Pelodiscus sinensis: one gene and its partners. The protein of the gene in region 2 binds, or shares a complex with, the protein of the main gene of each other region. Links are inferred from orthologs where the notes say so. Each region holds a gene or a part of one and is shown on either strand. Other genes may lie near its edges.

Region 1 (6,961 bases), on a different chromosome or scaffold from region 2:
CCTCAACAAACACCTCATGGGGGTTGCCATTGTGCCATGTCACAATAGAATCCTGACTGGAGACCTCTCCCCTTACCACAGAGTCTCTGTCCAGCTCTACTGACCCCACACTGGGGCCCATCCATGAGCCATGGAAGCACTGTGCATAAACAGGGCAGTAAGTCTTCCTCCAAATCCAAGAAACCATGTGTTCCAGCCATGGACGAAGAGCATATTCCAAGGCTCAAAAGAGCAACAAGAGGTTACACCATTCATGTAACCAAGTTACCCTTCTGATTCAGCTTCACCAGCATCCTATAAATCATTGGTTTGGAGCTTTAACACTTTTCTGGTTCCAGTCCTGGCAATAGACTGGGTATCACCGACTCCTGGAAGACTTGGAAGTGTTCCCAGACCTCTCAAACTGTTTACCTTGGAATAAGTGAGCTTGTGTGACCACCTGCTCAGAGGTCCCCATCTCCTGCATTAGATCTACCATCTACTGGTAGTGCACTCTGTTCCCACAGCTCTGTCAGCATCACTGTGTAGCGCCCAGTTCTGCTGAGTCTGAGAATTCAGATACGATGTAATCCGCTACTTCCAGTTTGGAGACATTACTACAGAGCTTTCCAGTTTCTTTAGTACTTGTACTACAGCAGCAAGAGCAACCAAGTTGGCCATATTAGAGCTTATAGCTTCACTAATTGCCTTTGAAATGGTCTTAGAACGGGAAGACTGTTTTATCACTTCATTCTTCATCCAGTCTACCCTTGGCACCTGGATCAGACAATGCATGCACCAGTGTGGTGCCAAGGGGCCTCAGGAACTTCCCGTTAGGGTACCTAGATGTGGCTGTTTCTTTAACATTGCCCGTCCCACCAGATGACTATCATCAGTTTCAAGAGCAAGTGAGAAGGATAGCTAAAGCTCTTCAGAACCCCCCAAGAAAAGGTGGGACCAGGTCCTAGACTTACACACATCAATACCAGCATGCAGAGTCAATGCAGAGGTGTATAGTAGTCCCGCGAGCAGTGGTTCTTAAAGTGCAGTCCGTGGACTGTTAGGGGTCTGCTGCCATCTCCCGGGTAGTCTGCGGCTTGAGCACAGCCTCCCCATCCCCACCCAGCAGGGTGCCCACATTGTGGCTCAAATCTTGTGGTTACTGTGCAGCTGCAGGCTGAAGCATGAACTCCGGCTTCCCACTGGGACAATGCAAGGGCATGAAGGAGGTGCAGGCATTGCATGGCGTAGGGGTCAGAGTAGCCTGGCAAGTGGAGTGGGCGACATGACCTTGTGCTGAGCTCTGTGTCCCTGGGGCTGCCCCTGCCCAGCCTAGGCTGCACCAAGCTGCTCCCCATGAGGTGTGTGCGGGGGTGGGGAACCCCTCCTCCAGTGCCCTGCTCTGCCTGGCTGGGCTGGAGCCAGCCCCAGGCTCTGCCCACCCCACCCCACCCCTGGAGTGGCAGCCTACAGGTGAGAGGCAAGCTCTGGACAAAGGGCTGGGCCAGGCAGGGAAGTGACTCCGTTCCCCCCTCCCCCAGCCCTCCTTGCCCCACTGCTGCTCCTGGGGGGCTGCAAGTCCCAGTGCTGCTACCCTGCTGTTGTGTGTGCTGGGGGCACAGGGATGTGGGGCCAGGATGGGGTGAAGGAGGATGTAGGGGAAGGTTCAGAGGAGGCAGGGGTTGCACGGGGGGGGGGGGGTGATGCAGGGGATCAGGCTGGGTGGGGATCAAGGAGCTGAGGGGGGTGAGGCTAGAGCAGAGGGAAGACGTGGGGGGGATATAATTTCCCTTTACAGAAACTGCACTTTCCTTTGCTCTCCACTTTGCCTCCCTCTTCCCCTTCCATCACAGCATGATCTTTGCACCTTATTCTGTGTGAATGAGAATTTCAGCCTATTTGCAGGCATTGCTGGAAAACTGGCAGGTCTGTACATTGTTCAATAATATTTTATAGCACCCCTTGGCATTAGATCTGGGACATTTGCTCCCCTTCAGGTCTCCAGCAGACTATCTTCTTTTAATGCCAGTGCATATTTCTGCTGGCAGCTCAGACCTTCATTCGTTATTTCCACCAGGGCTCTGAGCTGTGTCTGTCTGGGGCTCATTGCTTTTCCAGCCCGTTTTAACCCCTCAGTTACTGGCAACACTTCATTGGGATTGCCAGAAAACAAGTCAAACTGAGGGGCCATGTCTAGACTGGCAAGCTGCTTTTGTGGAAAAACTTGCCAGCTGTCTACACTGGCCGCTTGAATTTCCGCAAGAACACTGACTATCTCATGTAAGATTGTCAGTGTTCTTGTGGAAATACTATGCTGCGCCCGTTCGGGCAAAAGCCCTCTTGTGCAAATGCTTTTGCGCAAGAGGGCCAGTGTAGACAACGCGGTATTGTTTTGTGCAAAAAAGTCCTGATCGCGAAAATGGCGATTGGGGCTTTCTTGCGCAAAACCGCATCTAGATTGGCACGGACTCTTTTCCGTAAAAAGTGCATTTGCGGAAAAGCATTTGCGGAAAATAATGCCAGTCTAGACGTAGCCAGGGAGATCTCTCCCCTCCATGATATTGAATACTCGTTGGCTTAGGATTTTTAAGATAAATAGCCACTTCAGCATCTACATATAAAAGTGAATCAATGTTCTTCTTTTACTTAGTTTCAGAGTCTTATAATTGCCATAAGAACCACAAATCTCCATCATAACCCAGAAAGACACCAGTGTTCATTTCCCTTCCGTATATGGGAGCACACTTAAGCAGCCACAAAGGTTTTGTTGAGCAGCTAGTTGGCTGCATTCTCACCCTCACCTTTTCTGCATAACTTCCCCACCGATCTCCAAACTCTCTCTCTCGAGCCCCCACATTCTCCTGCTGCCGAACTCCCTTCCGCACCCTGTCCTCCTCACCTCCTCATGCCTAGATCCTGCATCCCTATCCCACTCACTGGCAGCCCTCATTTTTGTCACCACCCCAGCGCCTAAGAGGGTCCACAAAATCCACTAATTCTGGAACCCCAGAAAAGTAAACCTGGTCTATGGGAAATCCTAAACCTTAGTCCTCATTGTCCCCTTCACTCTTTGGGGTTGGAGTCCAGAAGAATGAGGTGTCTCATTTGGGGGGTCACATCAGTGAGGGTTGGGGTTTTGGAGTTTTTTTGCTTCTCCTGTGTGGTCCCTTAACTGATTTTTCTATGGGTCAGTGGCCCCTAACCCAAAAAAGGTTCCCCACCGCTACCATAAATAAAATATGGGAACCTCTTGTGTTGGACATAAATTAATGTTACTTTATGTAAAATGAAGCTTGATAAACTAACATGAGAAAGTTAAAATGCTTAATCTGTTTAATAATTTAAACAACTGTTCTCCCTAGTTGCAGCACTACGAAAATGGCTTGGGTGTAATTATGTAATTAACAGTGAGTTTCCATTAGCAACTGGTGATCTATGAAAAGGTTTGCAGTAAGCCAGGTGGTCCATCGCCAAAAAGTTTAAGACCCACTGCCTTAGGGGCTCCTTTATGGCTACTCTCACTTTCTGACAATTAAATGTTTCTTTTTGACCTTGCCAGATCCTTTCCAGTATTCTATGAAATCGATGCAGTTGCGCCTGAAGTGCTGCATCGCGGAGCAGGACACTTGAGGGTATTATTGAGCAAACCACCAACAATTGCGTGTTTTGCATCAGTGGGCAGCCTCACGGCAACGGCTCCCTCAGCCAAGGGGAGGCGGCCAGGCTGGGGGGGGGGGGAGGAGTTGGGAGAGGAGGTAGAATTCCTTGTTTACAAAGCTAGAGCACAAGTAGGATGGTCAGCACAGTGGCTCCTTTGCGGGAACAGTATGAAAACCGGCTCCTGCTCCCAGGTAGCCTCCCTCTACAGCAAACGGCGCGCGGGGGTGAGGCACAGACCCCAGCAAATTGCGAAGCGAGGGAGAAGGACGGTGCATGCAAATACCGCGGGCTGAGAGGAGCCCTGCAGTTGCGGTGGCGCGCTCAGGCTGAGACCGCTGCTCGCTGCCGGGAAGCAGGAGCCCCCCGGGGCTGCCGTAGCTGTCTCCGCTGCTCCTCGAGCCCCTCCCAGCCCTTTTGTGTCCCCGCGCGCCGCCTCCGCCGCTGCTGCATCCCGGCCAGCAGCACGAGCGCTCCTCGCAGCGTTCGAGCAGCCCGGGCGGCGGCAGCAGCGCGAGCCGGGTTCGCCAGCGCCGCCTCGCGCACGGCCCAGACCCCTCCCCACAATGCACCGCGCCAGGCAGCCTTTGAAAAAGCGGCGCGGCTCGTTCAAGATGGCGGAGCTGGATCAGCTGCCCGACGAGAGTGAGTAGCGCCCCGCGCCCCCGGCCGGCGCCCCCTGCCCGCGGCGCCCCGCAGCGTCGGGGACCAGCTCGTCCCCCGCCGGGCTGCCTTCCCCGCGTCCGGCCTGGCCGCGGCGGGCGCTGCGCGGGGCCGGACCCGAGTCTCCTCCTCTTCCTCTGGAGCCGCCCCCCCCCACGTCCCGCCACCCCCTACCCCGCGCAGGCGGAGGGGCCGCCCCGGAGCCGGGCCCGGAGACCCGCGGGTTCCCCACGGCGGGTGGCGCCGGGAGGGGACTTGCACCCCGAGTTCGGCGCAGCCTGACAGGCCGGGGCCACGGCCGCACCCGGGCCAGGGACGGGCCCGCACTCGGGCCAGGGCGCTGCCTGTCAACAGAGATAGGGAGGCGCCGTACAGCTGCGAGCACCGATCCTGCCCCGGCGCATGGGGGTGCGCTGCACTGCGGGTGGGCCCTCAAACATTGCAGCGCAGGGGAAAGCGGGCACAGGGAGTGCCCTGCATAGGACGTGCCATTAATACAGGGGGGAGAGGTACAGGTTAGTGCTGTGCCCTGTCCATGAGGAGGAACTAATGCTCTGGGGGAGAGGGTTACACAGGGTAGTGCCCTGCGCCCCGAGCAGGCTTACGGGTGGGACATAACATGCATACTGTGCTGGGGGGTGGAGAACACTAAAATGCTCCAGGGAATTTCGGGGGTGGACACACAAACATACTCTAAATGCTGTCTGACAGAGGCACCAGAGAAATGGAGGTCATTGAGACATGCAAATTGCATCCAGGGGCATCCAAGAATGAGGATACACATGCTACTCGGGAACAGACACTGGATCTAGGGGATAGATGCAAACTAAACACAATAAAGGTGCTATGAAGACCCACAGTCTATATACAAAGACACAAGCATGCACTGTATGCAGACACATAAATGAACGTACAAGAAGGTTGATACCCAGCAAGTCTGACTGAGTAGATCATGTGTATGGGAGGTAATGTCACTTAGATAATATATTTTATTGTACTAACTTGTGTTGGAAAGAAGAGCTCTGTTACTGTGCAGAAGACTGCCATGTTAGCTCAAAATCTTGTGTTTCAAATCAATGAAAATGAACGGTATTACCTTCCTCTTCCCATCCTGTCTCTCTATATCCTGGGCCCAATGTGGTTACAGCACTGCTGCAGATACATACTGTGGCCAAACAAAACTACAGATACAGAAAAATAGATTCATTCATTCATTGCATTACTCTTTCGTAGGAGTAATGCAAGCTATATAGACATGCATACCATACATAAATGTACAAATTAACACTAACGCAGCAAGGCACAGAAAAAAATGATAGGGCTAATTTAAAATACACAATAGTTTATTCCAGCTAAAACATATTAAGTCTCTACAAAGTTTATCCATTAAAAAGGAGCATATGATAGAGCACATGAAGTATAAAATTTAAACTGAGGGCTATGTGAGAATTTGAAATGCAAATCAAATATATAAACAAGAAATTCTTTATATCAGAAGCAGAAAGCAGTTGGGCTGTGTCTACATTGGCATGATTTTGCTGCACAAAAACATGCTGCCTGTCTACACTGACGAGGAGTTCTTATGCAAGAACACTGATGTTCTAATGTAAGAAATCAGTGCTTCTTGTGCAAGAACTATGACGCTCCCACTCAGGAATAAGCCCTCTTGCACAAGTGTTCTTGCGCAAGAGGCCAGTGTAGACAGGCAACATGAATTTCTTGCACAAGGAAGCCCAATTGCTAAAATGGCCATCGGAGTTTTCTTGCGCAAGAGAGCGTCTACACTGGCATGGATGCTTTTGCACAAAAGCACATCTCTTGCGCAAAAGCACATGCCAATGTAGACGCTCTCTTGCGCAAATACTTTAACGGAAAAACTTTCATTAAAAGTATTTGTGCAAAATCTTGCCAATGTAGACGTAGTCTGGGAGAATAGCAATGGCAAAGAAGCATTGGGCAACAAGCTAGCTGATTGTCACAAGTACAAGGAATGTACATTCAAAATAACCATTTGAACTAATGGATTCTAAATGAACTGTAACAATAACAAGGAAAAACCTAAATGGTTTCATTTAGAACAGCCTGATAAACTGCTTGATGCTCAACTAAATAAGCAAAAACTTAGATTGGATTACAAAGGTAGAGCAATGATTTTCAGTCTTTCCCTTACTGGGGTCTTTTGTTACAACAGAAAAAGTATGGGACCCTCCTCCCTTTAAGCCAGAAGAAAAGATGGATGTTCGTGACCTTCAGATTGAGAACCCATGGGATAGAAAACAATATAAAAATATTAGGCAACTGTAAAAATATATAATCTCACCTTTAATATGCTGTTCAAAGTCTAGTTCCCCTATCTGAAAAGATACATCTTATGAAGGTTACTATAGGCAGTCAGGAATGGAACACACACCTCCAACTTGGCAAACTTAAGTCATTATCTGCTACACCACATACCTTCCTGATTGACTTTTCCAACTTTGCTTATCCTATTTCTAACTAATATAAATCACACTCCTCTGCCATTTGGTAATTACTCCAGTATCTGAAATATTAAAGTTCTGAGCTGAGGATCACAAGGTCAAGGCATTTGAATGCTGCTGCTCACCTTTGTAAGGATGGCATTAGGGATGTAAGCAACTAATCGACTATCTGATATGCGTAT
Region 2 (7,432 bases):
GTTTCCACTGTAACAAAAAGTGAAGGGCTGGGTGTAGGGTGTCCAGCCAAGGGGGAAGGTGCAAGAGCAGAGGGTGTCTGGCCAAAAGGGGAGGATGCAGGAGTGGGCTGGGGATGTGACATCTTGGTGGAGGTGTGTGAGAGGGGGTGGGAGTGCAGGGTCTGGCCATGAGGGAAAAGCGGAGGCACTTACTTGCTTTCATGTCCCATGTCTGTCCCAGGCACAGTGTCTCAGGCATGGCCTTTCGCTGCTCCCACTGGCTGGATTCCGGACAATGGGAGTAGTGGGGAAAGCATCAAGGCAGCGTGTCTGTGAATTGCTGTTCTCAGGTGGGGGAGGGGGAACAGCAGCACACAGAGCTGCTTCTGGCACCGCTTCTTCCCTGTGAGGTGGACCCTTCCTTCTGAGTGGTTTGGGGCTTTCTTCCTCCCTCTCTGGCAGGAAGCCAGCGCGGGCTCCCTGCTGTGGGGAAAGAGAGGGAGGGAGGAAGGAGGGGCTGAGCTTGAGATGCAGATCACCTGCAAGGTGGCCACGGACCACTAGTGGTCAGTGGGCCACAGTTAGAACCACGGTTCTACAGGATAAAGTGTTTAGAGACATCATCATCTAAAATATTTGTAAAATCCTTATCTATGTGATAGAAGTGAATCTGTTTATTAAGTGAAACAATCTTTAGAATTTGATCCTTTATATACTTTCTACTACAGTAGAACCTCATAGTTATGAACACCAGAGTTACAAACTGACCAGCCAACACACACCTAATTTAGAACTGGAAGTAAACAATCAGGCAGCAGCATGGACAAAAAATAAACAAAGCAAATATAGTACACTAAACCACTCTGGTCATCTGAAGAAGTGGGCTGAGCTCACGAAAACTCATGATACCATCTACATGTTTTGTTAGTCTATAAAGTGCTAAAAAAACCTATTTGTTGTTTTTTAAGTTTATCCTGTACAGACTAACTTGGCTACCTCTCTGAAGCTTTTAAATATTTCAGAGTTACTAACACCTCACAAATGGAGATTGTTCGTAACTCTGAGATTTTACTGTACTTTCACTTTTCTCAGTGTAGACAATAATGATAAATTAGGGTGTGTCTAGACTACAGAGTTTTGTCGACAAAAGTGGACTTTTGTCGACAAAACTATACCTGCGTCTACACTACTGCTGAGTTCTGTCGACATAACGTCGACAGAACTCAGCAGTTTTGTCGACACTGGTAAACCTCATTTTATGAGGCATAACACCTTCTGTCGACAGAGTTCTGTTGACAGAAGGTGTTATTGCATGTAGGGTTGTGTCTAGACTACAGGGTTTTGTCGACAAAGCAGCTTGCTTTGTCGACAGAACTGAATGTGTCTAGACGCTCTTTGTCGACAGAAGTTTTGTCCACAGATACTGTCGACAAAACTTCTGTCGACAAAACCCTGTAGTCTAGACATACCCTCTGGTTTGTTTTTAATGTCTAGTCATTTCCTCTTCAGGTTTTTATAGACTACTAGCTTTTTACCCGGCATTGTTCAGGTACTTCAGGGCAGGGTGCTGGAGGTGTGTGGGTGGTGTAGGAGTCAGGACTGGGGGTGAGGAGTGGCTCAGGGCAGGGAATGGGGAGTGCAGGAGTCAGGACAAGGGATTGGGAGGTGTGTGTGTGGGGGGGGGAGAGGTTCAGGGCAAGGAGCGATGGGGTCAGGACAGAAAAGTGGCAGATACAGGAGTCAAGGCAGGGGTTTTAGGAGGTATTGGGGGCGCAGGGCATGGTGTGGGGATGTAGGAGTCAGGGCAGGGGATTGGAAGGTATGGGGGTTGAAAGCTGAGGGTGGAGGGTGCAGGAGTCAGGGCAGGGAGTGGGTGACTCAGGGTAGTGGATACCGGCAGTCAGTGGCTGCTCCCTGGGGCTGGTCTGGAGTGGCAAAGACCATGCTGGCACTGGCCTGTAGTGGTGAGAGTTGCACTGGCTGGCTGATGGCTGCTCCCTGGGGCCAGCCCAAGGCTGCTGTGCTGCTCTGCTGGCATCTGCTCCCCAGGACTGGGGCACTTTTTGCTCCCTGTGGTCATTGTGACGTATAACTGACCCTGTTATCAGAGCCCTCTCTTTCCATTTGATGAGAAACAATCGGATTCCAGGCACTTCCCATTATTCCTAGCATAACCAAACACTGACCTTTCTTTAAATTAGAATAAGAGAAGGTTGCATATCAAATTTGGTAGTCCTAGCTTTTACCGTTCAGGAGGAGTTCTTGAACAAACATGAATGCATGGACAGGCACTCCCACACAAGCTCTCTTAAATATATAGTAGATTTTGCTTAGGTTGTAAGGGGGGAGGAAATGTGGTAGAAAAGTTGCTTATTTTTAGACTAGGTTGAACACCTATTATTGGTGTTTGATTTGAATAAAAGGCAAAAGATAATATCAGTTTGACTTTCATAATTAACCTCCCTTCCCCAAAACAAAAAACCTTATAATTGAGGAAGCTTATCTTCCTCTTTTCCTTACTCCTAATCATTTTTCTGGGGAGTAAGGGAGAAAGTTATTCCTTAGGCTTGTCTATACTCACTGTGCTGCAATTGCATCTGTGCTGCTGTAGTGGTTAGTGAAGCTATCTACACTGATAACAGAGCATTGCCCCTTGTTGTAGGTACTCTAATTCCCAAAGAGCCATGTTAATGGGAGAAGCCCTCCCATAAACTATTTTTGCCTATAGCAGGGGCCAAGTTAGTACTAATGTGTCACTCATCTAGGTGGGCATAGTTATACCAATATACATTTGTGATGTAGACCAAGTCTCAGATTATACATCATATCAGACTGTATTGTAATGTTAGGCAAATACTAAGGGGCAGTGCCCCCTGCTTGCTATGCTTGCCAACTCCCCTCTCTGAGGGTTGGCAGCTCTAGCTTTCCCCCACCCCTGGCTGCCATGGGGCTGGGCCAGGCCTAAGCTGCACCTAGCCTGGCTTTCTCCCTTCGGCCACAGGGAACCCGGATCAGGCTGAGGCTGCAACTGGTCTGAGTCTCTTCCTCTGGCTGTCGGGGGGCTGGGCTGAGGCTGGCCCAGTTCTCTCACTCCAGCCGCCCGAGGGTTAGGCCGGGCCAAGGCTGGCCTGGCTCTCTCTCTCTGGCTGCCACTGGCAGTGGTTGGCGTGGCTTTCTCCCTCCAGTTGCTGAGGGACTGGGCTAGGTTGAGGCCATAGCTGGCTAACTGGCATCCTCCCGTGAGGGGAGAGGGCATGTGGCTCCCAGTCCCATCCCACCAGGGGGGAAAGATACACAGGTGGCAGCTCTGGGTCTCCACGGTGACAGGGGAAGTCCACGTGGCTCTGGCCCCCTCCTGCTACAAGGGGGAAGGCTGCTTCGCTTTCCCCCCACGAGGGGGGAAGGCTGTGTGGCTCTGGCTCCAGTCCCCTGTGTGAGGGGGAAAGGCCACATGTGCCCAGGGCTCTTCCCCCTGGCCACAGAACACTAGGGAGATAAAGGGAAAGAGGAAGGAAAGGGCTGCAGGATGCAGAGTGACATGATGACATGACTCTGTCATCCCTCAGGAAAATCTTTTTTATAGAGAGATACATGGGAGGAAGGCAAATACTTGTTTTTATAGAAATTTTTTTTTTTTAAGTCTGCCTAGGACTGTATTGCATTAATAGTGAACATTTGGCCTCTCCAAAGCTCCATTTCTCTCTCCATTTGTTTTGGTACAAAAGCTGCTCTCACTATATTTTTTGCTATTCCATACTGACAGCTCTTTAATTACAAATTAAGTCAAAGTACATTGGATGAGTCATGAAAAGGAGACTATGTAGAAAGGAAACAAGAACATCCAGGAAGTCCCTTCGATAGCTCAGCTGGTAGAGCGGAGGACTGTAGAGGAGCTGCGGGAATCCTTAGGTCGCTGGTTCGATTCCGGCTCGAAGGAGACATGATTTTGTAATTATACTCTATGCCGAATGTGAGAAATCTCTGTATCGGTAACATTTGCACTAGGCGAGATGTGTTTCCCTCCCCCTGCAGACTGTGGGCTGTTCGCCTGCATTTTGTCCTTAGTCAGTAATAGGTGAGTCCGGATTCCAAGTGATCTGCTCACTCAGGACGCCTCGCACAGGCACATTGAAGGGGGAGAATAAGGCCTTGGGCTGGGAAGCAAGAGCGGCAGCAGCACGTAGCAGAGCCCGTGGGGCTTCTTACAAGCTGCCACTGTTGAACACCGTCAGGCTTGGCGGGAAGAAAAACTCGCTCTCCCAGGATGCAGCGCGCTATGTCCTGCCCCCTTCATCCCTACTGCTCCGGGTCCGCCCCCGTCTGGCTCTATGCCCCGCCCCCTTCATCCCTACTGGTCGCACCCTTTCTCCCTCTGGCGCGGTGCCCCGCCTCGATCGCGTGCGGCTGCCTCAGCCAATGGGGTTGCAGTCCGCGTGCGCAGATTCAAACGGTGGCTCTGGAAGGAGGCTGGGCGCGAGATTCGGCGGCACGGACAAAACCTGTGACGGCAGCGCAGCGGCAGAGGAGGCCGGGCCAACGGGGGACGCAGCTGGGAACAGGGGCCTCGGAACTGGGCAAGAAGCGTCCGCAGCCCCCGATCCTGTCTCCGCAGCCGGGCCGGGCCATGATCTGTGTGCGGGGCGCCGGGCCAGGCCGGGGCTAAGTGAGGTGGACGCGCTGGAGTGTCCGGGAGCGGTAGAGGCAGCCGCCCCCTTTTCTGCTGTGTGACGGGGCGGGCCCCACGGCCGCCACAGACTCCCCGGGGCAGTGTGAGGAGCCCGGGCAGGGAGCCGCGCAGCGCCGTCCCCAGTCCGTCTCCGCCTCCTTCTATGCTGCGCCTCGAGGATGGCGAAGAGACCGCGCAGGTGAGTAACGCCCCCGGCCGGCCGGCCCGCCTGTCCTGGCTCGGGTATCTCCGCGCCTTCGTCCCGGATCCCTGCTCCGATCGCAGCGCTGTTCCCTTCGCCTGCAGGGTCTCTGTCCCCTTTCCCTCTTTGGGACCCTCCCCCGGCTTCGCTCTCAGCTGTGCTACACCCCCACATCCCGCTTCGTCTTTCTCTCCACGCCAGAGGCTCAGGCTCTCCTCCTGTCCGGCCGCCCTTCCTCGTGCTCCACTGTCATTGTCCAGTCCCTCCCCAACGCTGCATGCCCAGAGCTAGATCCCGGCCCCATCATCCCCCCTAAGTCCTGTCACCCACCTGTCGCAACACCGGTGTTCCCCGACTTCTCCATCTTCCCTGTGTGTTGCATCTCACCGGAGTTGCTGCACCCATGTCTTTTCCATGTCGCTCCGTACTACAGACATAAGAGTAACCTCGTCTTCTCTTTCCCCTGGGCTACTAGTTTCTTCCTACACAGTAGTTCTTGCCAGTTTTCCCTTTCTTCTAACTTTCTGGTCCTTTACCTCTCTGACCAACCACGTGGTTTTAATACTTTGACTTCACTAATTCTTATTTTTTTAAAGACTGTGTTTTTAGTCCTGGTACATCCATTGATGGGGGGGGGGGGGGGAAGGTATATGTGATTCTTTCCTGTAGCTGGGAAATCTGTGAGTGAAAGTGCTTATTCAGCTGCAAACATTGAGCTGTTGCAGATTTATCTTCTATTTTGCAGGAGCTTGTGTGTCTCATTTATACTAAAAATCTGGATTTTTAGGAAACTACACTTAGTAATTTAGTTACTACTGTCTTCTGTCTTTCTAGTTGTGGATTTTTGTAGAAAGGGGTTTATGAGATTGATAAAGGAAGAGCAGGGTAAATGGTCAATATTAGTTATGAAAGCTATTAGGTTTTGACCATCTCTATTATTTGGAGACTGCTGTGTATGCATATTGTTCATGGGAGTGAAGAAATTGTAGTTTTGTGGTTGGTACATCAGAATTTCTTCTGTATTTTTCTTCCAGAGGAGATCAGGTTTATTACAAATATACTATAAATTCATAGTTCTTGTGGGAAAACCACAGGAAGGAAAGTAATATGTTTTCCTTGTAATTGTTCAGTTGTTTCAAGGGGAACAAGAAAATCTCATTTGGAGAACTGGGTTTTGCCCAAGAAAGCTCACAATTATATATGTATGTAAATAGGGATGTGAATGACTAGTCTATTATCCGATAAGCAAAAGCTTATTGGATAGTTGATACACTAGTCCAGTGTTTCTCAACTAGAGGTATGAGTACCCTTAGGGGTACTTGAGACAAGTTTGGGGAGTATGTCAACACAACTGAAATTTGGAGAAAACTGAATTTTTGTTTTAAGTTTTACAGCACTTTATTATTTTTGTGCTTTTTACAGCCAAAAATTTCATCGCCTGCCCGGCTACAACTAAGCTGTTTAAACAAATGTGTCGCAATGGGGAAAAAAATGTGTAAGTCTGAAAACTATAGGTATTGGGGATACTTATAATTATTTTTTTTAAAGATACTTAAAAAAAAAAAAAAGGTTGAGAAACACTGGACTAGTTGACTGGTCACTTCCCCTCCCTTGCTGCCTCTCAGAAAGAGGCAGTGTGGGGGAGGAGTACTTCGAAGTGGCAGTGCCGTTAAAACGCCGCATGCTGCTGGGGAGTCCCCTGCTGGCCCGGCTGCATACAGTGTTTCAAGGTAGCAGCACTGCATGGAGCCTGGGGTCTGCCGCTTTGAAATACCATGTACAGCTTGAGTTCCCACCTGGTCCTGCTCTGCATACAGCGTTTAAGAGCAGCAGTGCTGCATGGACCCTGGGGACAGCTGGACACTCTGAGTCCCCAGCTGACCCCGGCCTCCATGTGATGCTGCCACTTTGAAATGCTGCAGGTGGCCTGAGGCCAGCAGGGGACTGCTTTAGTCCCCTGTGCTCCTTGCAGCTCTTTCGCCTTTGAAGTGTAGCCCTGGGCCAATTAATCTAAATTTAACATTTCTAGTGTGTAACAAAAGTTAACAAATATGTGTGTGTATAATGTGTGTGTGTGTGTGTGTGTATTTATTTTATTTATGTATTGTATATGTTTGTTAGGCCTGTGGCACCTTAGTGACTACTCGTTGTTTGGAAACTAGAGAGGATCAGCTACCTTAATGTAGGTAACATGAGACATTCCAGCTACATATTGCACCCAGAATGCCATCTGGAGCATCTCTCTTTAACCAATACAAGTTGGTCCATTAAAAGTTATGACCTCATATTACCTTGTCTTTCTGGAGTCAGGAGCTAAGGAAGACTTACTAGTCTTTCTGGAAGTGCCAATATTGCTGTCAATGAATATTGAGCTGTGAAGAATTCACATTTCTTGCTAGATTATTAAAATAGGTGTGCATAGACGATGAGCTCATTTGGTACATTCTGGTTACAGCAGAACAAAAAGAAAGTGTTGGTATATACAGGCAGTCCCTGGGTTACGTACAAGATAGGGACTATAGGTTTGTTCTTAAGTTGAATTTGTATGTAAGTAGGAACTGGCTCCAGATTCAGCTGCTGTCACT
Region 3 (6,884 bases), on a different chromosome or scaffold from region 2:
GCCAATCAGGTGGCATCCACACCCCTGAATATCTTCACTCCTGTGATGGGATATGCATATAACACCACAGTATCAACCCAACTAATAACCCATGTGGGTATCACTTGGATGCCACAATGGAATTCCCCCTGCCCCCCAGTTTGCTTTTTTAAGAGCTAGGCAATTACACACAAAAAAACTACATTAAAAGAAAATTTAAGTTGCAAAGCTAAGCAATCAAAAATTGGGAATTAAAGTTAAGAATAACTCTGCAACTTTAATCCAGCCCCTTGTGTATCAGCATTATGCTACAGTCTTCAATTACATATTCACATTTTTCCCCCTCATCTCACAAACTCCTTGCTTCATTCACTGGACAAAATGGACCTATTCTGTTGAATCCAGGCGAGGTATGAAAGGGGACTTCTGTCCATAGGGCCCCTGCCTTATTTGTGGCAGAAGTTGGACGACTTGTACTGAGTGGGGTAGGGGAATGCAGGAAGAGAAGGACTGACTCATGCTTAAAACAAATGAATGCTGTCTCTGCCACAGAGTTCCTAAGTGATACTAGGTAAGTCACTTAAAGCAAACTTTTCACACGCATTTGTGCAAGGCTCTATACAACACTTGTATCCGCATCTCCATCTACAAAAAAAACCACATCTGCGCATGTGGATGTCTGCAGTTGTGTAGGGTTCTAAATAACTCATTAATGTTTTGTATCTTCACATAACCCCGGTGAGGTAGTAGTTTTATTATCCCCATTTTACAGATAGGGAAACTGAGGCAAGGAGACTTGGGTCAAAAACATTTACTAATTTTGGTTGCCTAATTTGAGATGCCTAAAAGCTGATTTTTTTTCAAGACTACTTAGCTCTATATAACTATAAGCCTATATGTAGATAGAGCTCTGCTTTATATCTGCAAGTATCTACATTTATAAATGTGAATGCATATGTCTGCAACTTATTTTTGGAGATGTAGATAAAAATTTTGAGTAAAGAAATAATTCTATTTTCAACACAAGGTCTGAATATTGTGCAGTAAATAGGCCACAATGAATAATGACAAGAAAACAAAATATTGAATAGAACAGCATTGCACAAGCTGGAGCCACCCAATCCATGTGTAGGAAGAGTGCAGCACAGACCCCTGGCCCCACCAGTCCCCTGGGCTGAAACAAAGGGGCAAGGAGAGACAGGGCCTGGAGCAGAAGGGAGTTGTCCTGGTCCTTCCTTGGGCGGAAGCAGGGAGCACGTGGTCAGTGTCTTCCTCCTTCCCCTGTCACCCATCGTTACTGCTTTGCTTTGAATTTACCTTAGTTCAGGGGTTCCAAAACCTCATTGCATTGTAACCTTCTTCCAACAATAAAATATTACTGCATGGCCCCAGGAGAGGAGGCCAAAGCCTGAGCCCACCTGAGACCTGCTGCCCTGGCTGTCAGGAAAGTGGGGAAAACCTCAAGCCCCAACACCCTGGGTGGGTAGGCTAAAGCCCAAGGCCTCAGCAGACCTGTAACCTGAACCCCACCACTCAGGGCCAAAGTCAAAGTCATCAAAATCAGTCTTTGGTCCTGGTCCACAGCAAATCCAATGCCAGCCTTTGCAGACCCAATTAAAACTTGATCATAGCCCATTCTGTGGTTCTGAATGACAGTTTGCGAACTGCTGCCATAATGGCAAAGTTAGGCAGTCGTTGCCTGTAACGTTTTTATTTTATTTTTCTTGTATTAAATTCTGACTCGTATGCTTCACGCTTAAAAGCATACAAAAATCATTCCCTTTGATCCAGTGTATTTGAAGTGTTTGGGAAACTCCACTTGGGACAGCAAGTGTACTTATTTCTATTATTATCCAAGCTCGTATTGTCCAGGAAAGGGCTGTGCAGTACAAGACAGAGATTTCTAGAGCATGGCACCACAGAGACAGTGCTGGAGGGAACTGGCTTTTAAGGTGGCTCCCACCAGCACCGGCTCCTGCCCACCCCTCCTTGCTGCCACCAATACAGAGGCAGTGACATGGAAGGGAGAGTGAGTAGTCAAATACCTGACTTCACTACTCACTTACATCCTTATTTAGAAAGGCTTTAGGACTCTCCTCCCTCCCTTCACTGAACCCCAGATTCACCTGGAGCCACCCAGAACAGAGCTCCGGTAAATATTTTCAAACCTATAGAAGCCCTGAGAACACCCTCTCCTCTCCCTGAGACGTGCTTCATTTGGCAGCTGTGTCCTAAATGGTGGTCAGCTCTGTGAAATAGTCTCTGAGAATTTAAGCCCTGGAAGTGACTTTTTAAAAAGATGTGAAGGAAGTGTTTCATTGCATGAGGAAAGGAGTCCAACAATCCACCTGCCCCAGTAGCAGTTATAGACTTCCCAGAACTTTAGCCAGCCCTATCTAGAGGCCTAACATGAAATTGTTTCATGCCCTGCTCTTACTAACTGGGCTAAGTTATCTAAAGCTAATTCAGCAAATACATTTTCTTCCAAATACCAACCCCCTCCTTTGGCAATGCAACTGCAAAGTCTGATTTAGTTTAACACCAGATTAGACAGGTACTGGGCATGCTAAGTTATGCAAGTGATAGTACGGGGGTGCAGCTCCTGCCATACAAGTGTGCATAGCTGGCTAATAAGATAGTCACCATCTGCATCTCCTCCTCCTCCTCCCCTGCATCCAGGGCCCTTTGAACTTCCCATGTCTCCCCTTTGGTAAAGCTTGTCAACAGGAACAAGAATGAACTCACCACTGAGTAAGAGGAGGAAAAGGATGAATACCAGGTGGGACTGACTTTTCCTAGGATCTACATGAAAGAAAGGCAGACACACAGAGATCAATGCTGTTAGACACACAGGAGGCAAATCCTGCAGAGGTTAAACCCGTGCAGACGCTATGGTTGTGGAGAGAGCCTGGGATCTGATCCCCAACGTCCATGAGTCAACTATAGCCTGAGGGAGCAAAGGGGCAGCCACAAATACCACTGGTTGCACGGTAAGATGCTGTGGGAAGGGGGTCTCAATCATACCCCATATCAGGCTAGGGGACTGAACACGTGCTAACGGAATCAATGGCAAGGACCCAAAGCACGAACTGGGTTCAGGTGAGCCTTGCCAGATCGTATTTGAAAGCGCTGGAAAATTCCTCCTAGTTTATCGGTTTTAACCTAAACCGTTTCAAGGGTGCAGCCTTCCAAGCACCGTCCGACAGCTCGCCTCGGGGCAGCCGTCAGTGGCACGGAACAGTGAGGCCAGACGCGTGCAGATCCCAGCTGAGACCCCGCCCAGCTCTCCCCAGTCATGCCCGGGAACCTCGCTGCCAACCCCTGCTGTCACCCCCGGAGAAAACCTATCCCAGCACCTCGGCCCGCCTGCCCGCTGGAGCGGCGGCCTCGGGTCTTGCTGGCAGCCAGGCGGAGCCCAGAGGAACCGCGAGAAACACTCGTCCGGCGGCCACAAGGCCGATAGCCCGGGGGACTGTCCGGCACAGGGGAGGCGTGAGCCCAGCCGCTGGAGCTACAGCAGGGCTCCCGCACCTCGCCCCGGGCCGGGGGCTGCTCGACACCCCCGCCGTACAGCGGGCGCCCGGCCTCACCCTGCACAGGAGCCGCTGCCCAGCCTGGGCCCCGCGACCTGCCAGCGCCACCATCCCGCCTGCAGAGAGTCCCCCGGCCCCCGCAGGACAGACCCTCACGGGCCCTCAGGTCCCGCCCCCGCACTGCCATTGGCCGCTTAGACAACGCCCTAGTCTCCGCTCTACCCAGGAGGGGCTGTGGCGCTCGACTCGGCCAATAGAGAGCCGCAATCGCCTAACCCCGCCCCTAGGGGAACCGCCCACCATTCCAGGGCGGTGATTGGCTACGGGAATTGAAGGCGGCCATGGATGGAAAGTCAGGGTTGGACACGCCTCCTAGGGGAGGAACGCAAGCGCCGCGTGTGTGGGCGGTGCTAGAGGGAGTCACGTGTACGAATTCCCGCGGGCGGCGGTTGCCCGTCACGTGACTTGGGCAAGATGGCGGCTCCCACGGAAGGTAAGAAGTGGAAGCACCAGGACTTGGACCGGATCTGCCTTGCGCGCGGAGCTGAGCTGCGGCGGCTTCTGGGTATCGGCCCAGCCCGCCCGGTTCCTGGGTCGCGTCTTGAGCGTGATGTGTCGTTACCCTGCGCCAGCCCCCTCCCCGCCGGCGACTCGGAGCCGGGGGGAAGGGTCTGGAGACCGGCCCGACCAGGCGGCCCCGCCCGGCGCTGGAGAACGGGCACCGGGCAGCCCTGTCGTCGGGGCACGTCCCCGGACTGGAGCTGCTTGTCGCCTGTGTGAGGCGCCGCGGTTGAGCCTTGCGAGGGCACCCTCTAGCCACAGCCCGTGGCCATGGCGTCTGGGGTGTCGCTGAGCCTGCGTGTGACATGTCCGGCTTCGGGGCGGGAGCGGTGTTTGTCTGTCTGACTGACTCACTGACTGACTCCTTCCAGGGACAGATCTGGAAGCCTCCTTGCTGAGCTTTGAGAAGCTGGACCGAGCATCCCCAGACCTGTGGCCGGAGCAGCGTAAGTCAACCCTGATTCTCCTCCAGGGCTTGATGAGGTGGATTGGTCCTTCATGTGAAAGGAAACGAGAGTATCCAGTGCCCTGGTGAGAAGGGGAAAGACCCCTGGGTCACTGGAGTGCACTGCGACCTCCAGGCCCCCGCAACCTGGGATGGGTGTGTGTACCATGGAGTTATGGTTTGATGGTGTGGGGAGTGGCAGTTGGCAACTGTAAGTTTCATCTGATTGCCCATGTAAATGTTACTGGAGATGGTATCCAGTTTGAGCCCTAGTAGATTAGGATGTTCTCCATAACATTCTGATGCGGGTGCTTCTCAGGTTTTGTTCCCTTCACCTATGCATTTAAACTACGGTGATCTGCACTCCTTGGCTAGGTGGTGAAAATATAAGAAGTGAGGCTTGATAGGAACTCTTCCAGTACCTCTGTGTAAACTACTGACTAATAAACTAAGCTGATCTGCAATGGACACTTCCATGGCAAATAAGCAGGGAAAATCTTCCAAAGAGCATTCTGAATTTTTGTTACTCCTGCAGTATTCAAGAAACTGCAGTAGATGAGTTAGTGACTAATATTTAATGTAGTGAGGCAACATTTCCTATAGTACATGTGACTGGAGATTTTATCTAACTCTACTGCAGCTAGGAAGCTTAATTCCCAGTTTGATTGGCATTTGTACAATAATTCTGATCAATGTAGCATATGAAAAAATATCAGCATGGCTATCAAACTATCTGCTTAGGGCAGGAGTGGCCAACCAGTTAGGGACAAAGAGCCAAAATATCTGTGGATATTTATTTTTATATATCTAGATAGATAGATAGCTATAGTACACAAAATATAGTGATTAAAAATAACATTACAGGACACTTCAGACAAAAATCAATAAAAAAGTCACTAGTCACTTTAAAAAATTAATCTCCAGTCCATAGATCTTCTGAGAACTTGACAAGGAGCAAACATCAAATTAAAAAAATTTTTTTTTTAAAAACACAGCAATATTCTCACACTAAAAGAAAAGCATCCCTACCATGTATTTTAAATTTAACATTACTGCCCTAGTATGTCCTGTGATTTTTTTTTTAATTAAACTGAACTGAGAAATAAATTAGCACAATTTGAAGTGTCTGTTTCACTCCAACTTCTGACCTCTGGTATGGTTTCCTCAGTTTTTTTACTTCTAAAAATTCAGGTCTGTCCCAGACTGCAAATATGAGAGGTTCAAAAACAATAAGGCAGAGACACATATCTCAGAATAATTGGTTCAACCTGGCGAACAATAGCCTTTGAATTTTCTTTTAAGGAACACAGTGTAAACTAAGTGTATGCTGATTCTTTTTTGCCCTGGAATTTAAATATGACATCTGTGTTGGCTGCCTTTATTCTGCATCCATGAAGATAAGCCAGGCACCGTCAGCCCTCCCTGCTTTAACCCAATGCTTTCTCCCAGAGCCAGGCACCCCCAGCTCTCCCCTGCTCTAACCCAATCCCCTTCCCTCCCCCAGAGCCAGGCACCCCCCACTCTAACCCAATGCCTGGGTCCCAGAGCCGCTGTCGCCACACGCTTCTCCCTCCAGACACTGGGACGCATGCACAGAGCAGCTGGCTGCGAGCAGTCCAGGCGCACAGCTCAGAACTAGCAAGAGCCGCATTTCTTTAAGCAAAGAGCTGCATGCGGCTCAAGAGCTGTGGGTTAGGGCGTCTGACAGGATTGCATTCAGGCAAATTGCCCATGATCTGTGTATCTATGCCAGGGTTTCCCAATCTTTTTACTTTAGTTCGAACCCTTTTTTTTAGTACTGTTTTTTGCAGCCCAAAAATATAAACCCATAAAAAACAAACTGAGAAAATACCAGACATATAACATGTCTCGTCTTTTCTCATTAGGTAAGTTTTATTATTATTAGATGTATCAGTTTGTAGTTTCGAACTGCCTAGCTGGTAAATGTGCTCAGGCTGCATGAGTGTGTCTACCAGCCAGACAGTTCGCAACTACTCGAGGGTGTGTGTTGTGGGGGGGCACAATAGAATCCCCGGGCCAGACTCACTCGTGCTTTGTGGGGGTGGGGAGAAGGGGAGCAGCGCCCCGAGACCTGCATATGGCCAAGTCAGTCCCGCTCCCTGCCGGCCGATTCACTCTCTCCCCCCGCCTCTGGCCAGCCCCACTTCCCCCAACCCCCTCCTGGACAGCCAGTTCTCTTCCCAATCTCCCTTGGCCAGCCCCGCTGCCTGCGTCCAGCCCTGCTTCCGGCGGCCGCTTCTCCCTCCCACCCCCATCTTCCCCGGCCAGCTCCCTACCCCCAACCTCATGCCTCCTGGCAGCCCTGCTTCCACTGGCCCCCCAATCTCCCCGGCTCATCCCACCCC
Region 4 (7,890 bases), on a different chromosome or scaffold from region 2:
GATACCAACCCAAAAGTGAAATTCTAGATGATTGTATCGAAGTAACAAGACACTGACCATTCTGACACTAGGCTACTGCACTACGTTTTTTCCATTCAACACTTCTAAAACAGTCACATGGCCATTTTGTAAAATGTATCAGAAAACAGCAATCTTAAGAAAAACATAAATATTTGCTGTATTAAAATATTTGTTAGTTAAAGCACAAAAGTATGAAAATAAAAACAAAAAAATAAATTACTCTCCAGCCAAGAATTCTAGGATCTCACATAAAGATTCTTCAAACAATTAGTCATCAACATACAAGATCCTTCAAAGTTAGAGTTTAAGCCCAGAGGGAACTACCAGATCACTTTGTCTGACCTCCTGTATATCACAGGACACCCACACACAAAACCAAGCAAACTAAATTAGACCAAAATATTACAGCCTATAGGAAACTAGAAGGTTGGTCTGAACTACAGAGTTAGTCAGCATAAAGCAGCTTACATAGATCTCACTTTGTAAGTGTCTACACTCCAACGTTGCTCCTGACGATGCATGTCACCCATTACTCCAGGAGGCATAGAGCTTGCATTGATGCATTCAGGGCAACAGTCCTGTGTAGACACTGCATTATTTACATTGCCTGGTGGCGCTCAGTCCTAGGGATGGGGGTTTCAGCTGACCACCAACAGAACCATAGACATGATTCACCACAGTAAATATCAAGGTTGCTGTATTTTGACTTAACTTTGTAAAAGGTCTCAGAATAATAGGGACTTGAGGTGTGGCACCAATGTTTAAGGCAACTGCAATGGCAGGGAACTGATTAAATGAGATATACTCTGATAATTGGGAGAAATGGCCTGCACCTCATATTGCAAGCACAAAGTAAAAAACCGTAAGGTCACTGGAAATCTGACTCAGAGGAAAATTCCTTCCCAACCAACAAATGGTGATCACTTAGACATTAGGGATGTAAATACCCAATTAAAAAGTTAACCAGTGCTACATTATGTAATTTTAATTGGTTAAATTGTCAGTCATGGAGGGGGTGGGGGAATTGTGCAGAGCTGCTGGCATCTCTAGCCTGGCTTCTTGCCTGCTGGCCTACTGTACCACAGGGCTGCTCCAGCCAGCTGGACCCACCATGGTTTAACTGGTTACCAGGTAAGCATGCTGGTAAGGCTAAGTTTAACCAGTTAAAACTTTTACATCCCAATGAGACAGTGCAAATGAGGTGACACTGGTACTGTTGCATCTGATTTCAGTTGGCCTGTATTTTCTTTTTGGGGACATGGAGGGGAGACGGCCAAAAGTCAAACATTTGGCCCTGAACTCCTTAAAAAAAGTTACAACTCACACAAAACAAAAATGCTCTCAATACTTAGGACAGGGGTAGGGAACCTTTTTTGGGTTGAGGGCCACTGACCCACAGAAAAAATCAGTTGAGGGCCACACACAAAAAACCCTCAGACTAAGAGAAAGACACTCCACACATTCTCCACGCCTGGGGGGCCCAGCCTAATATATTTTGTGTGCTGCCCCACCATGGGGCAGGGAGCTGGAGCTAGAGCGCCAGCACAAGATCCCTCATGCAAGGGGGGGTCTGAGCCTTGGGGTTGGATTCGGGCAAGCTGTGGATCTGAGGTTCCCCATCCCTGACTTAGAAGCTGTCATACCTCAAAAATGGGACACCCTTCTCCCCCCAAACACCAAACAAAGAGGCAGCTTACAAAGGAAAAGAAATATCCTCAGAACTTCAACAGAGTCAGAGAACCTCCTCTCTTCTTTAGATATGTGGGAGGATTCATCAGGTATACAAGTCACACATGAGCCCACTGCATTTACCTATGTGATTTTCAGTTATAAATTTGACCTAATTGTAGCTGTATCTTTAAAAAAAACAAAAAAACACTAGATTCATCTTCCAATATAGCATTGATATTAGTTCTACTATTCTCAATTTTGCAAAACACTACCATAATAAAGCTGACAATTTCGACATGTGGCATGCCATTTTGTACTGCAGAGATGCACATCAAGATGAACTTTTGTAATGATTCATCACACTCTATATACTGCCCTATATCTAAACATCCTTATTTATATAATGAGGCAGGCAGGGGAAGCGAAAATACTAGGCACGTTTATTTTGATTTTTTTCCCCCAAGAGATTGCTAGAATGAGGGCCCAAACTGTAAGCCCTGCTTTTCTCTCCTTTTGATCTTTGCTGAAAAAGAGCATGTCGCAGTGAGTCTCAGCTCTTGAGATCTTGAATTCCTTAACATTTTCTAGGGTTAAAGCCACATAAAGAAAGCTCCTCCTTACTATTCAATATATTACACAAATGACTTTAAAATGCCAACCCATTCGTCAGAACAGTCACACATAACCAATGATTTTATTTTTCACGCGCAGGGTCGGCTGTTTCCCTGGCTACTATGGACTGGCAGTGACAAAGGGACAAACAGTCAATACACCCACACACCGGGGCACAAGCCACAAAGGCCCACCCGCTGGCGGGGCACGGCCCCGGCGCCTGCATTGCCAAGGCAGCCGCGCAGACAGCTCAGGCCGGGGCTGCACCGGCCGGATCCCCGGTGCCCGAGGGGCGCAGCGCCAGGAGCGGCCGCGCAGGGCTGCGCCGTGGGCTGGCCGGGCCTGCGCCGCCCGCCCCGGGAGCTGCGCCCAGGCGGCGGCAGCGGGGACCGACTCCTGGCGCTGCAGCCGGGGTCCCCCTCCCCGGCCTGTCCCCGCAGCCAGGGAGCGGGTGGCCCCCAGGGATGGGGGGGGGCTGCACGGCGACGCGCTGGGCTCCCCCCTGACACCCCTTCCTGCTCCCTCCCTTCCCCCCACCCCGCTGGGCCCCCCGCGCTCACACTCACCGGGCTCGCGCTCCCCCCTCCCCCGGGCTCGCGCCGCGGCTGCCCCCTCCTCCTCCCCCTGGGCTCGCGCGCCGCTCTCAGCAGCGGCAGCACCAGGGACAGGTTCCGTGTTTGTTCAAAATCACGCGCCCAGCGCCATTCCACCGCCACATCCCATAATAATGCGCAGCGCCGCCTTGGCAACCGACATAGCGTCACCAAGCGAGCGCAGCTCCTCCCTCTCCCGCCCTTTGGGGCCGGCGCTTCCTTCCAGCCGTTTCCGGGTGCGTCATCGCATCCCGTTGGCTCGTGACCATGTCACGTGCCGCTGCACAGGCACGCAAGGGCTGGCAAGTGCGCAAGGTGAGAGGAGAAGCAGGGGTAGGTGGAGCCTTAAGGAGGAGCCCGGGTGTGCGTGTGTATGGTGCTGCGTGTGCAGCCTGCGTCTCCCACTGATCTGAAATGGTTGGGGAACAGCTGAGAGAGGCCTGGCGATAGTGATGCATTGGGTAAGCATTCCAGCCTCCTCTACTTGTAGCACCCTTCTGGGCACTGGATGCGTGCACTCTGCTATACTGCCCCATAGATAGAAACTGTTTAAGTCAAAACTTAAAACTAGAAGCACCTTAAAGACTAACAAAACATGTAGGTTGCATCTAGACTGGCATGATTTTGCAGAAATACTTTTAAAGGAAAAGTTTTTCTGTTAAAAGTATTTCAGCAAAAGCGCATCTAGATTGGCACGGATGCTTTTGCGCAAAAAGTGTTATTGCGCAAAAGCATCTGTGGCCAGTCTAGACGTGATTTTGCACAAGAAAGCCCCGATCGCCATTTTAGCTACTGGGGCTTTTTTGCGTAAAACAATTATTCCCTGTCTGCACTGGCCCTCTTGAGCAAGTATTCTTGCGCAGGGCTTTTTCCTGAGCAGGAGCATGAAAGTATTTGCGCGAGAAGCACTGATTTTGTACATTACAAAGTCAGTGCTCTTGCGCAAATTCAAGCAGCGTGTAGACAGCTGGCAAGTTTTTGTGCAAAAGTGGATGCTTTTATGCAAAATCTTGCCAGTCTAGACGCACCAATAGAGGGTGATATGAGCTTTCATGGGCAAAACCCACTTCTTCATATGACTGGAATATATCTGAAGAAGTGGGTTTTGTCACAGGAAGCTCATGATACCATCTACATGTTTTGTTAGTCTTTAAGATGCTACTAGACTATTTATTGTTTTTAAATTTTTTCCTGTTACAGACTAACTCAGCTATCCCTCTGAAGCTGCTTGGCTGTGTCTAGACTGGCCAGTTTTTCCGGAAAATCAGCCGCTTTTCTGGAAAAACTTGCCAGCTGTCTACACTGGCCACTTGAATTTCCGCAAAACCACTGATCTCATGTAAGATTGTCAGTGTTTTTGTCGAAATACTATGCTGCTCCCTTTCGGGCAAAAGTCCTTTTGCGCAAATCTTTTGTGCAAAAGGGCTGGTGTAGACGGCTCAGATTTGTTTTCGGCAAAAAAGCCCCGATCGCGAAAATGGCGATCGGGGCTTTTTTGCGGAAAAGCGCGTCTGGATTGGCACGGATGCTTTTCCGCAAAAAGTGCTTTTGCAGAAAAGTGTCCGTGGCAATCTAGACGCTCTGTTCCGAAAATGCTTTTAACGGAAAACTTTTCCGTTAAAAGCATTTCTGGAAAATCATGCCAGTCTAGACGTAGCCCTTAAGTCAAGACACTGAAAAACAGGCAGTGAGTGGTTCCAGTCTTGTTACATCTATAAAATGGGCTAACAAGTGACAGCTTCCTAAGCACTGGGCAAACCTTTCATGAAAGGTGATATGGAAGTGCAACATATGGCATTGCTTTTACCTTGAGCATACACCCTCTTGCAAGGGAAATGTATTCATTCTGTTTAGCTTCTGTACCATAGGTATCCTCCACTTATTTGTAGGGTATGAACAAACCAAGGGAATTTTCCTCACCTCTTAATTATTGGTTTTCTCTCCATTAAAACATTTATCTGCAGTGTTTGCAACTCAAATGTCAGTGTACAAAAAAATAAAAAAAAAAATTGATCTCAGTCTCTTTCCATGGTTCCAGCTGAAGCACAATCCTGAAGATAGCTGCCTGACATTTAAGTAAATAGAACACTCCTTTTGAAATATGAGCTGAGTCCACCTCTCCACTTATGAAAAGCAGCACTCTTGTATGTAGGTGCTATATTTGAAAATTTTAGTTTACATATCCGGACCTCAGTTATACACTGGTAAAATAGGAACAGTATAATTATTCATCTACTTTTAGATAAAACGCTATACACAGATTAGAAAAGGAAAATAAATACTGTAATGTCTGAAATCTTCTGATAACGTATGTACGACAGCCATGCTGTGTACACCACTGAAACACAGCCGACAAGCAACACAGTTCGGAAAGAAACAGAGCTACAAAATATTCCACTCATCAGGCTCTGGCCCTGCTTCCTTCTCTGACCCGAGAGACCGCATGGGAAGGAAAGAACTTATCATCCATCCCTCTCACTGGGGCATGAGATCCTGCATTTCCAGACCTGCCATCTGCACCAGCCAGGCGGGCAATACTGGGAATGACACCTTCCGGAGAAATAGCTCAGAGCGCCTCTCCTGGCCTTAGAGGGAGGAAGGGACTGAGGGTCCCCTCCCAGGTACAGAGTCTGCTTTCGTGTGGGGCCGGGTCAGTACGTCAACCCGCTGGCGGATCAGCCCTTCCGCATCCCAGGGAGGCAGCAACTGGCCAGCAGCGCTCGCGAGGAGGGAAGGACTCCGGGCTGGGAAGGCGTCACGTGACCCTTTTCTCAGGGGCAGGAGCCTTTCTAGCCGACGCTCCTCTATGATACAGCGGGGACGCGGCGGCGGCGGCTTCCCTCTCGTTGGCAGGGGGAGGACCGCGTCTGTCAGTTTGCGCGAGACAAGATGGCGGCCGCGGTGAGGCAGGAGCTGGCCCAGCTCATGAATTCCAGCGGCTCCCACAAGGACCTGGCGGGGAAGTGAGTGCGGGCCGGGCTGGGGGGAGGGGGCGCTCCCGGCTGAGGTGAAGGCGGTTGGCGGGTGCTTGAGGACTAGTCGGGGGTTGCAGGGTCCTGCTTCCTCCGCGAGCCGCGGCCCCTGTGCCTGGCAGGGCGGAGGCGCCCGGGTCTGTCTTGTCACTTCGTGAATGGCAGACGATTAACGGATAAAACGGATTAACGGAAAAACCTGCGCTTATTATTGGTCAATGCTGTCGACTGCACCTACCTACCCCGCCCCCCCCCTCCCCCGCTGCCTCGGGGCGGGGGGATTAACCAGACCCCCCCCCCCTCTCCATTTAATTTAACCAAGGGGCTGTAGATGCTGCAGGCTGGTGCTGAACTGTCCGTTTCAGAACAGTCGGTGTTCCCAGAGCCTTGGGCTTGAAAGACAAAAGAACCCATCTGATGCCCATTGTGTCTTTTTCTAGAGCCAGAGCAATTGTACGGAGAGAGGCGTCCGAGCTTTAAATTCCTTTTAAAAAATCACGTATTTTCTGCGCCGTTGGTATTATGCAGCAGGGTCTCTTGGGAAAAGCCCTAAAAAACACCACCAAACATATAGGCTGTGTCTACATTGGCACCCCTTTCCAGAAAAGGGATGCTAATGAGACACTTGGGAATTGCAAATCCACGGGGGATTTAAATATCCCCGGGGGATTTAAATATCCCCCGCGGCATTTGCATTTACATGGCTGCCGCTTTTTTCCGGCTCGGGGTTTTTGCCGGAGAAAAGCGCCACTGTAGACGCGATTCTCCGGAAAATAAGCCCTTTTCCGGAAGATCCCTTATTCCTACTTTCAAGCGTCTACACTGGCGCTTTTCTCCGGCAAAAACCCAGAGCCGGAAAAAAGCTGCAGCCATGTAAATGCAAATGCCACGGGGGATATTTAAATAAAAGGATATTAATTGTGATACATTTTTTAATTTTAAATCTATGGGCAGATATCGTCAGATACTGGAAAAAGCAATTCAACTGTCAGGAGTGGAACAACTAGAAGCCTTGAAAGCTTTTGTAGAAGCAAGTAAGTATGTATTTGTTGTGTTTATGCATTGTTGACTGAAGACTTGATGCATGTTGGATTACACATGCAGATAAATATAGTTCAGGCTATGTGAATTTTTGATGTGCTGTCCATATTCAATCTTGCATCTGCATCTGCTTGGAGCACCAATCATCAGTATGTTAAAATTAGAGTAACCAAGCAATTAAACAAATTAATTGCCAATAATTTTGTTGCTAAACAATAATAGTCTATCATTTATTTAAATATTTTAGATATTTTCTACATCTACAAATATATTTATTTCAATTATAATATAGAATACAAAGTGAACAGTACTCTCTTTATATTTTATTACAAATATTGCACCCTAAAATTAAAAGAAATAATATTTTTCAATTCACCTAATATAAGTAGTATAGAGCATTCTCTTTATCATAAAAGTTGAATTTACAAAAGTAGAATTAGATATAAAAAACTGCATTCAGAAATAAAACAATGTAGGCTTTAGTGTTTTACAAGTCCATTCAGTCCTGCTGTTCAGCCAGTTGCTCAGACAGTGTTACCTGAAAAATGAGAACAATTGTTCACATGCACTGTTGAATTACACTGCAAAGTTTCTTCTGTCCCTTCATGCTTCAACCACCATTCCAGAGGACATGTGTTCATGTTGATGATGAGTTCTGCTCGATAACATTCCAAACCAGAGCAGACCGACATATGTTCATTTTCATCATCATTTTCACCACCAGCAAAAGGATGGATTTTCTTTTTTGGTGGTTCAGGTTCTGTAGTTTCCATATCAGTGTTACTCTTTTAAGACTTCTGAAAGAATGCTCCTTACCTCATACCTGTCAGATTTTAGAAGGTGCTTCAGATTCTTTAAACCTTGGGTTGAGTCCTATATAGCGATGTTAAATTTTGATTACCAGCTAATTGAGTAGTCAATAGAATTTCCATCAACCTTGCAATGCTGAGTACAAAAGTGCCATCCGAATGCCTGTTTTC

Evidence for each region.
Region 1: MYBL1 (region 2) and LIN9 share a complex: the UniProt entries of both Homo sapiens proteins name them as parts of the DREAM complex. The link is inferred for Pelodiscus sinensis from reciprocal best matches to the Homo sapiens genes MYBL1 and LIN9.
Region 3: MYBL1 (region 2) and LIN52 share a complex: the UniProt entries of both Homo sapiens proteins name them as parts of the DREAM complex. The link is inferred for Pelodiscus sinensis from reciprocal best matches to the Homo sapiens genes MYBL1 and LIN52.
Region 4: MYBL1 (region 2) and LIN54 share a complex: the UniProt entries of both Homo sapiens proteins name them as parts of the DREAM complex. The link is inferred for Pelodiscus sinensis from reciprocal best matches to the Homo sapiens genes MYBL1 and LIN54.

The regions. Positions count from the first base shown.
Region 1 is NC_134713.1:157,381,671-157,388,631, reverse strand, and holds the start of LIN9 (protein lin-9 homolog), read left to right. Parts: upstream 1-3,948; 5' UTR 3,949-4,202; coding exon 4,203-4,281; intron 4,282-6,961. UniProt on the Homo sapiens protein: Acts as a tumor suppressor. Inhibits DNA synthesis. Its ability to inhibit oncogenic transformation is mediated through its association with RB1. Plays a role in the expression of genes required for the G1/S transition.
Region 2 is NC_134712.1:58,192,411-58,199,842, forward strand, and holds the start of MYBL1 (myb-related protein A), read left to right. Parts: upstream 1-4,415; 5' UTR 4,416-4,824; coding exon 4,825-4,844; intron 4,845-7,432. UniProt on the Homo sapiens protein: Transcription factor that specifically recognizes the sequence 5'-YAAC[GT]G-3'.
Region 3 is NC_134714.1:44,998,791-45,005,674, reverse strand, and holds the start of LIN52 (protein lin-52 homolog), read left to right. Parts: upstream 1-3,875; 5' UTR 3,876-3,986; coding exon 3,987-4,005; intron 4,006-4,444; coding exon 4,445-4,519; intron 4,520-6,884. Other genes in the region: ALDH6A1 (methylmalonate-semialdehyde/malonate-semialdehyde dehydrogenase [acylating], mitochondrial), read right to left, coding at 2,725-2,781, 3,570-3,623.
Region 4 is NC_134715.1:11,686,393-11,694,282, forward strand, and holds the start of LIN54 (protein lin-54 homolog), read right to left. Parts: upstream 3,004-7,890; 5' UTR 2,871-3,003; intron 1-2,870. Other genes in the region: COPS4 (COP9 signalosome complex subunit 4), read left to right, coding at 5,787-5,860, 6,824-6,903. UniProt on the Homo sapiens protein: Component of the DREAM complex, a multiprotein complex that can both act as a transcription activator or repressor depending on the context. In G0 phase, the complex binds to more than 800 promoters and is required for repression of E2F target genes.